Danio rerio: one gene and its partner. The protein of the gene in region 2 purifies or fractionates together with the protein of the main gene of each other region. This does not show direct contact. Links are inferred from orthologs where the notes say so. Each region holds a gene or a part of one and is shown on either strand. Other genes may lie near its edges. The genes, in order: eif2s2 and cdc123.

Region 1 (3,833 bases), on a different chromosome or scaffold from region 2:
TATGAACTATAAAAATTATGAGAAATGGTTGATTTTCCATGTATTCACTAAACAAACTCAATCCAGAAAACGCAGCGTCTGCTTGACTCACAGTTTGCAGATGTCTGTGAAGTTTACGAAGGAGGTCTTCTTAGTGCCGACCCGCACCACCTGAGGAGGCTTCATCACAAACTTCCTCTTTTCTCCGGCGACCATGTCTGGATTCTTTTCCCTCATGATGTTAAAGACCCTGTTCAAAAGCTAAAATCATGTGATATTTTCAGTCACCTTTAATCTTAAGAGCTGATGCAACCAGTCATTATTTAACAAACTATAATTATTTATAAACTCATTATTTAGTCTCAAGAGTAATCAAATGTATTGGTGTCAGGAAAAATGCTTAACATGAAGAACAGGGATGTAATGATTCCCCATAATCCAGTTGAAACTCAATTAAAATATGTGAAGTTAGACAAATTGTACTACAGTGGGGGACCATTATGTTTGCTGCAAACTCTGTTTTAATTTCTGAGAAATTAAAATAATTTAAGGTGCTCCATTGGATTGATAGTGACATGACGCAATATCTTGCTGTAAGTAGCTATCATAAAATGTGTAGACTGTGGTCATAAGGGATGGAGATGGTCATCAACAATACTCGGGTAGGCTGTGGCGTTGACAATGCTCAATTGGTACTAAAGGGACCAAAGTGTGCCAAAAAAAATCCCCCAAACCATTATACCACCAACACCACCAGCCTGAACTGTTGATACAAGGCAGAATGGATCCATGCTTTTAAGCTGTTGTCGCAAAATTCTGACTCTATCATCCGAATGTTGCAGCAGAAATCGAGACTCATCAGACCAGGCAACGTTTTTCCAACCTTATATTGTCCAATTTTGGTGAGTCTGTGCAAATTGTAGCCTCAGTTTCCTGTTCTTAGCTGACAGAGTGGCACCTAGTGTGGTCTTCTGCTGCTGTAGCCCATCCACCTCAAGGTTGGACATGTTGTGTGTTCTGAGACGCTCTTGTGTAGACTTTGGCAAGTGGTTATTTGAGTTACTGTTGCCTTTCTATCAGCTAAAACCAGTCTGGCCATTCTCTTCTTACCTCTGGCATCAACAAGGCATTTGCGCCCATACAACTTCCACTTACTGAATATTTTCTCTTTTTCAGACCATTCTCTGTAAATCCTAGAGATGGCCGTGCGTAAAAACCCCAGAAGATCAGCACATTTAAAATAACTTTAATCACCTTTGTTTTTTCATTCTGATGCTCGGTTTGAACTGCAGCAAATTGTCTTGACCATGTCAACATGCCGAGTTGCTGCCATGTGATTGGCTGATTAGAAATTTGCGTTAACGAGCAGTTGGGCAGGTGTACCTAATGAAGTGGCAGGTGAGTGTATATTTTTATTGTACTAAGAAATGTGCAGTATTTCAGAACTAATAAAAGGCCACTTTTTCCTTTCATATCTCAATTCATTTTGTGAAAAAAATCATATCTTGAGATCTGTATTGTCAGTCTTATTTAATTATAAATTAGGTAAATGGTTACATCCACAGTAAAAAAAAAAAAATAGTTTCCGTTTTAATGTGACCCCACATTGTTTTTTTGGATATTACAATTCATGTAGCTTTAATAAAGCGGATTCTAAATGTAAAAGGTCTTTAAAATTTCTAAGATCAAACTGCAGGATTAAAGGTGTTACTGGCTCAAAGGAAAGAATCAGTTCTGAACTGCCTGAAAGAAGTCTTCATTACTTTCAAGTCTCATACTGGGTTCCCACTAACATAAACATTACAACATTTACTCTAGATTACCTAAGAGATGCTGTTCGCCTCATCCAAACACTTCCTCTCCAGTTAAATAATTTTCAAATATGTCACATAATTCACATCACCTGTCACAAATATTTTTATTGACTTAGTATGTGATCAATTTATCCAAATACTTGAAAAAATAGCTTTTGAACAAATTTGTATGGGGACACTTGCGTATAAAGTATGAAGTAGTTGTTTTTTGTTGAGCTGCTCTTTGCTGACAAAAAAGTTGGTACTCCAACTTTTGTGTCTTTATTTTGAGAATTGTCAGTCATACCCCTGATTTATTTTTTTTATATTTGGGAGAGGGATTTCACTTATTTTTCCTCTCAAAGTCAAATTTAAGACTTTTTAATAAATTTTTAAGACTATTATAAATAAAATTTTGGACTTATACGGAGTTAAACACTAAAGATTTTTTCTAATGGCCCAGTTGCTTCTGTTAATAGCTTTTGTATTAATGGAAGATTATGTAAAGGGATGTGTTGCTTTAGTTTTCTTTCCCGGATTAAGACAATTTGCTGTAAAAATGTGAGAAACAGCTGTTGTGAATTGTATTATTTGCAATAAATATAAAAATATATGTAAAAACATATAAAATAGATATTTTTAAAACATTATAAATAAAATATTAAAAAAACAATATAAACGTATATAAAAAAAATTTGAGATGGATTATTAGTGATGGATGTTGGACCGATTGGGTAGCTTTACATGGACCTAGGAAAATCAAGACCTGCTTAAAATGATTTAAGACCGATGACACAATATTTCAGTGAATTTAAGATTTTAAGGCCTAAATTGTTTTTTTAAATTAAAGACATTTTAAAACTTTAGGAGCCTATGGGCACCCTGTAGGAAGCTTTACCAAATTTGTATATGGCTTGTCTATAAGTTGTAGTTGTGGCCTGGAAGAGTTTGGGTTGTGCTGTTGACATGGGTCTATACACTGCCGTTTGAAAAAGAAAGGTTTTAAAACTCAAAACTTTAAAACTTTTTTTAAGGACAACAGTATCTCCAGCAGTAAAAGATATCCAAAGATGGTGTTTTAAATTGTGAGAAAAAAAATCTGCTTTTGACATAAATGAAGACAGCTGAAGTCAATATTTAACTTAAATTATAGCCTGACATGTTTACTGCTCCAAAATATTTTAAATGTTTCTTAAAATAAAATACATCGTGTTTGAAAGGGGAAAACGTTTTTTTTTTATCCAGACATTTAAAAAGAGCATATATTAGAGCAGTAATTACAATACCGTAAAACTGTGATATTTTTATCCAAGGTTATCATACCGTCAGCATCTTATACCGGCCCATGCCTAGACATGGCAAGCTTTTATTCTGTATTAAAATGTTTGTTTATTTTAACACTAAAACAACAGATGTGTCTAAGTTTAAATAAAAAATGACTATTGAACTAAACTAAAATTGTATTTTGCAACATTCTGGTTGTCCAAGGTTGCTGGAGCACATCTACAGTTTTCATGATAAACTACATGCATGTGATCTTAATGAGAACTGACTTCTACAACGAACTGACTACAACCAATAAAAATCCTCCGCATATCAGTAGTCATTTCCAGTATGTCTCATAAAAGACAAGTTAGCAGGTAAAATATACTCTGCCAATAAATGGACCAGATGGCAGAAGTCTCTGGGCCTTCATCACCTGAAACACACACACAGCAAGCCAGCCTTTTCTGCCATTTACCTCATCATAAGTGTAATCTCTTTCTGATCCTGCCCACGCAGGGCCCGTCTGTGTGCTGAACGTGATGTCATCAGCGTTTTTACTGTCATCATCTTCGACACCTTCCACATAAACAGCACACAATTAGACTGTAAACATTTCATTAGGGCTGCACAATATGTCATTTAAGCATCGATATCCCAATGTGCGCATTTGCAATAGTCACATTGCAAAGATATGCAATGTCTAGTCTGAATTATAGCTGACCAGGAGCCACAGAATTGTATTTAATCACTGCATGTATACGATTTATGCAAGAAAAAAAAAAACCTTTCTTACTT
Region 2 (4,424 bases):
GCTCCAGTTCAGCTTTGGGAAAATGCAGCCGCCCAGAACATTTATTGCTTCTTGCACTTTTACATTGAACTCTGGAAATTCTGGAGCCTGCAAAATAATAATAATAATTTAGTATATGCAAAAGTATTAACATAAGTTGACAATGAGGTAAAGTTGGTTTTATGTTTGCACATTCCGACTTTTTCTATGACGATATAATATTAGAAAAGTATTCCTTTACAAATTATAATTAGGGAAATCATATTAGCAGCCCGGCGAGGCAGTGGCACAGTGGGTAGCACGTTTGCCTCACAGCAAGAAGGTCGCTGGTTCGAACCTCGGCTCAATTGGTGTTTCTGTGTGGAGTTTGCATGTTCTCCCTGCCTTCGCGTGGGTTTCCCCTGGGTGCTCCGGTTTCCCCCACAGTCCAAAGACATACGGTACAGGTGAATTGGGAAGGCTAAATTGTCTGTAGTGTATGAGTGTGAGTGTGGATGTTTCCCAGAGATGGGTTGTGGCTGAAAGGGCATCTCCTGCGTAAAAACTTGCTGGATAAGTTGGCGGTTCATTCCGCTGTGGCGACCCCGGATTAATAAAGGGACTAAGCCAACAAGAAAATGAATAAATGGATATTAGCAGCCAATGACTGACTTAAAGTACAACACTGTTCACAGTCAATTGAATAGTGCTTGTTTTGATTGGTCATAAGGTTTCAGTAATGCAAAGTAATGTAATGTATTTTTTTATTCAATGCCATGTCAGCAACCAAGGCTATTTTCAAGGCAGGAACATTTCAATAATAAATACACAATTAAAAATCAACAAACAAACGAATACATAAATTAAACAAGAGTTTAAGTGTTAATTCACAAACACAGGCCAACAAAAATACATTATCTTACATTACTGAAACCCTATGACCATTTAAAACAACATTAGCACTATTCAATTGACTGTAAACAATGTTAACACATCATACAAATTCTAAAAGAAATATTCACTTTGCTAAAAATGTCCTTGAGAGATTTAATTTCATAAAGTCTTCTGAAATCATTAAAAGCAGGACATACATTTGTTCATTCATTTTCTTGTCGGCTTAGTCCCTTTATTAATCTGGGGTCGCCACAGCGGAATGAACCACCTAAAAGCAGGACAGTCCAGTAAAATATGTTTTATAGTAAGGGTAATTGTGCAAACACACAGTATCGGGTTTTCATCTTGGAGCAAAAAACTATGGGTTATTCATGCATGTCCAATACCACATCTGTTAAAAACCACTTGATCAAGTCTTAAAATTCTGTTTAAGATTTCAAGTTGTATTTCGTATAATTCATTATTTTCCAATGCATCCCACTCCTTTTGTTGCTTGTTTAAAATGTAAACATTGATAAAAGATGGGGAAATTTGGCATTTGTCCACCACTTGCTTCAAAGCATACTTAGCAGCTGCATTTATATGGTTTCAGACTGATAATTCAGTCAAAGTAGCACGGTAAACAATATAGGCACAGTGTCACGAGTTGTCACTGTTCAGAAATGTACAAATGCACGAAAATAAAGCCAACTTTACCTCAATTTGACTGAGGAATAAGACTCACTGTAACTGTCGTTGTAGTTTCATCATCAGTCCACTGGAATCAAAAGCATTTATGAGAATTAAGAAAGCTGCGTTATTTCAGATATCTTAATGTACAATATAGTTCACTCCAACAGCTTTGTTTTTGTGAATTGTGGGGACATTACGTTGCTTTCCATTGGACAAACTCTATTTTCTAACCCTACCCTATCCTTAAACCCAACCCTCATGGAAAACGGTATGCAGTTATACTTTCTGAAATAAACTAATTCTATTTGATTTATGGCCCGTTTCCACTGAGATGTACGATACGGGTCACTTTTTTTTGAAGCTTGCGTTTCCACTGCCAAAAAGGTACCCTGTTGGTGGACGTGGTGTACTACAGAAAGTTTCAGATGATGTAATTTTTACTCAAGGAAATGTAACGCCGTACAGGTTGTTCACATATCCTATGAGAAGCACTTCTCACGAAACAGATGTTTTATACACATAAATACTTGTGTATAAATGTTCATTACTAATCTTTCTATGAACAGGATTTGATTATAACTGCAGATCAATGATAATGCGAAATAACCTACTGTAACGTCTGAAATCATGTAAAATAAATAACTAGATGCAACATGTATGAACACATACAGACACTTACAGTCTCTGATATGTTATCAAATACAGAAAAACTACACAGAGCATACATTTAGTCCTTATTTGGGTTTAAAAAAACAACACGAAATATAGCCCACAGTCAGTGCAAACCTCTCATATGTAATCTTCAACAGCACATGTAGCCTCTGTTAGAAAGTAGTTCATAATAGTCCCAAAAGGTGATGGCTTTCTGAGCTTATAAGTACTTATAATACTTCACCACCACAATTCACCACTTTCTTGTAATATCTGTGTCATATCTATATCGTTATACAGATTTGTGGCCTGATATGTCACAAAAGCACATATACACACTCTGACCTGAATGTCCTCCTCGTCAGAGTCACTGTTGTTGGCCTGTGTTTGTAAATTGTTGTTCTCACTATAAAAAGACACAATAAGACATTTATTTCATAAAGACAAGACAGGAAAGTGCTGCAGTTTTTTAAGTACCATACTTTTGTCCAAATCTCACCTGCCAGAAACCACAAGTGTCCCATCATCTAATAGGTAATCGATTACATTTTGAGGTATGGGTAAAATCAGGCTGGGGAAACAGAACATATCATCACTGAATGTTTACCTACAACATAATACTTTAATTAAAATGTCGATCATTATTCGAAGACATGCTATAGTACGTATTATAGACTTTAAGATGGTAGGTAAGTGTGATGGTTGGAGAATAAATGGGTATTTAAGTACACGTTGCTATATAATGTTACTTAATAGCCTAGCGCGTGATTTTTTTTTCCTTTTTTGTACCTGTGAGCCCCGATCATTATATATTACCATAAAGTAAGCACCTTTCATACCTTTTAATAGTGTGTTTCTTGAATAGAGGATACCAAACAGAAAATTGACAGTTGACAACCTGCTCCTTCTTCATGCTGCCTGAAAGTTACACTGGTAATCTGTGCAACCTCAAAAACATTCCGACATGGCGATAGTACCACATAACAGCAGTTCCGGTTCACGACTGCGCATTTTTCTGTTTAAACGAAACTCTGTTTTAACCATCACTCTGAATTTTACACGCTAACTTACTTCTTTTATTTTAAATAAGTTGAACTGGTTAACAGTATTATGTGTGCAGCGATAACATCGAGACAGCAAGAGGGGGAACTATTTTAGCTGCACACACGCAGGCAGATGTTCGGTGAACACGTGATTACATGTGTGAAAACCAACTAAACAACATCACTTGGTTTGTCAGGATAAGTCGCTGTGATTTTTTTGACACATTTCCGCAATTTTGCTGGTATGTACCAATCTAACTTAAACGATTATGACATATTGTTTATGTCGTCATGTGTTAAGTCGTATAAATAGGCTGTGAGGTCATCAATGACAACATCATGCGCCTTGTAACTTAATTTCTGTTGTACGTGCAGAATTACTGTAGCTGTTCAGACTGATCAAGATGAGCTCTCCAACGAAAGCCACCACTACAGAACCTCATGTAATCAAAGAGGAGGTAAGAATCTGCTTTTAAAGGCATAGGTCCATCTTAAAGTTTTGATTTGTTATTATGTAAACCATCGAACGTTGTTATAAACTGCTTTTTCATACTAAATTTGACCTCTCTGTGTTGAATTTTAGTTGGTAGCGAGTGGAAATTGGGTGAAGCTTGAGAAAACAACTTATGTGGATCCTTCTGGAAGCACCAGGTATTGATCGACTGTATGTGAATGATATGTGACCTCTGGACTGAGTGGACGTGATGATACTCTCATTGATCAAAATAATCTGGTTTATTTTTTAATTGCATCAAACGCGCTGAAGTATTTTTCCTGTTTATTTCTAGATATATAATTGGAATAATCTGGTTTATAGTGTAGCAAAATGACAAGAAACAACAATCAGATAAATAATATTGTTTGAATTGGTTTATTTGAACAATACATATTTCCTTGTATGTAGGTTAGTGGGTTAATAACTAGATGATGGGGTAGGAAAATTTGTAGGTTGCTGTGATAGAGGTGGTAACACCCACCCCTGCTACCTAACTGGGCCCAACCTTCCTAAAAAAATTGGTGCAGATGCATTAGTTATGTCATTATTTGTTAGACCCTCACTATTTAAAATATAATAGAAAATTATGTTGTATATAATTCATAAGTCTTATATATGTCTAGACAAATATATATATATGTTTAGACCCTAAGCGGCCGGTTGCTTCCCTTATGGGTAAATCCACCCCTGTGTGATAGGTAGTTGAACAA

The links.
Region 1: the proteins of cdc123 (region 2) and eif2s2 purify together in Homo sapiens (affinity purification with mass spectrometry; 4 studies listed by BioGRID and IntAct, counting the BioPlex papers as one, with this or other methods). This does not show direct contact. The link is inferred for Danio rerio from reciprocal best matches to the Homo sapiens genes CDC123 and EIF2S2.

Annotation. Positions count from the first base shown.
Region 1 is NC_133181.1:52,639,796-52,643,628, reverse strand, and holds part of eif2s2 (eukaryotic translation initiation factor 2 subunit 2), read right to left. Parts: intron 3,615-3,833; coding exon 3,514-3,614; intron 241-3,513; coding exon 92-240; intron 1-91.
Region 2 is NC_133179.1:8,360,661-8,365,084, reverse strand, and holds the start of cdc123 (translation initiation factor eIF2 assembly protein), read right to left. Parts: upstream 3,116-4,424; 5' UTR 3,089-3,115; coding exon 3,015-3,088; intron 2,747-3,014; coding exon 2,675-2,746; intron 2,582-2,674; coding exon 2,521-2,581; intron 1,610-2,520; coding exon 1,577-1,609; intron 88-1,576; coding exon 1-87. Other genes in the region: nudt5 (ADP-sugar pyrophosphatase), read left to right, coding at 3,623-3,676, 3,802-3,869. UniProt on the Homo sapiens protein: ATP-dependent protein-folding chaperone for the eIF2 complex. Binds to the gamma subunit of the eIF2 complex which allows the subunit to assemble with the alpha and beta subunits.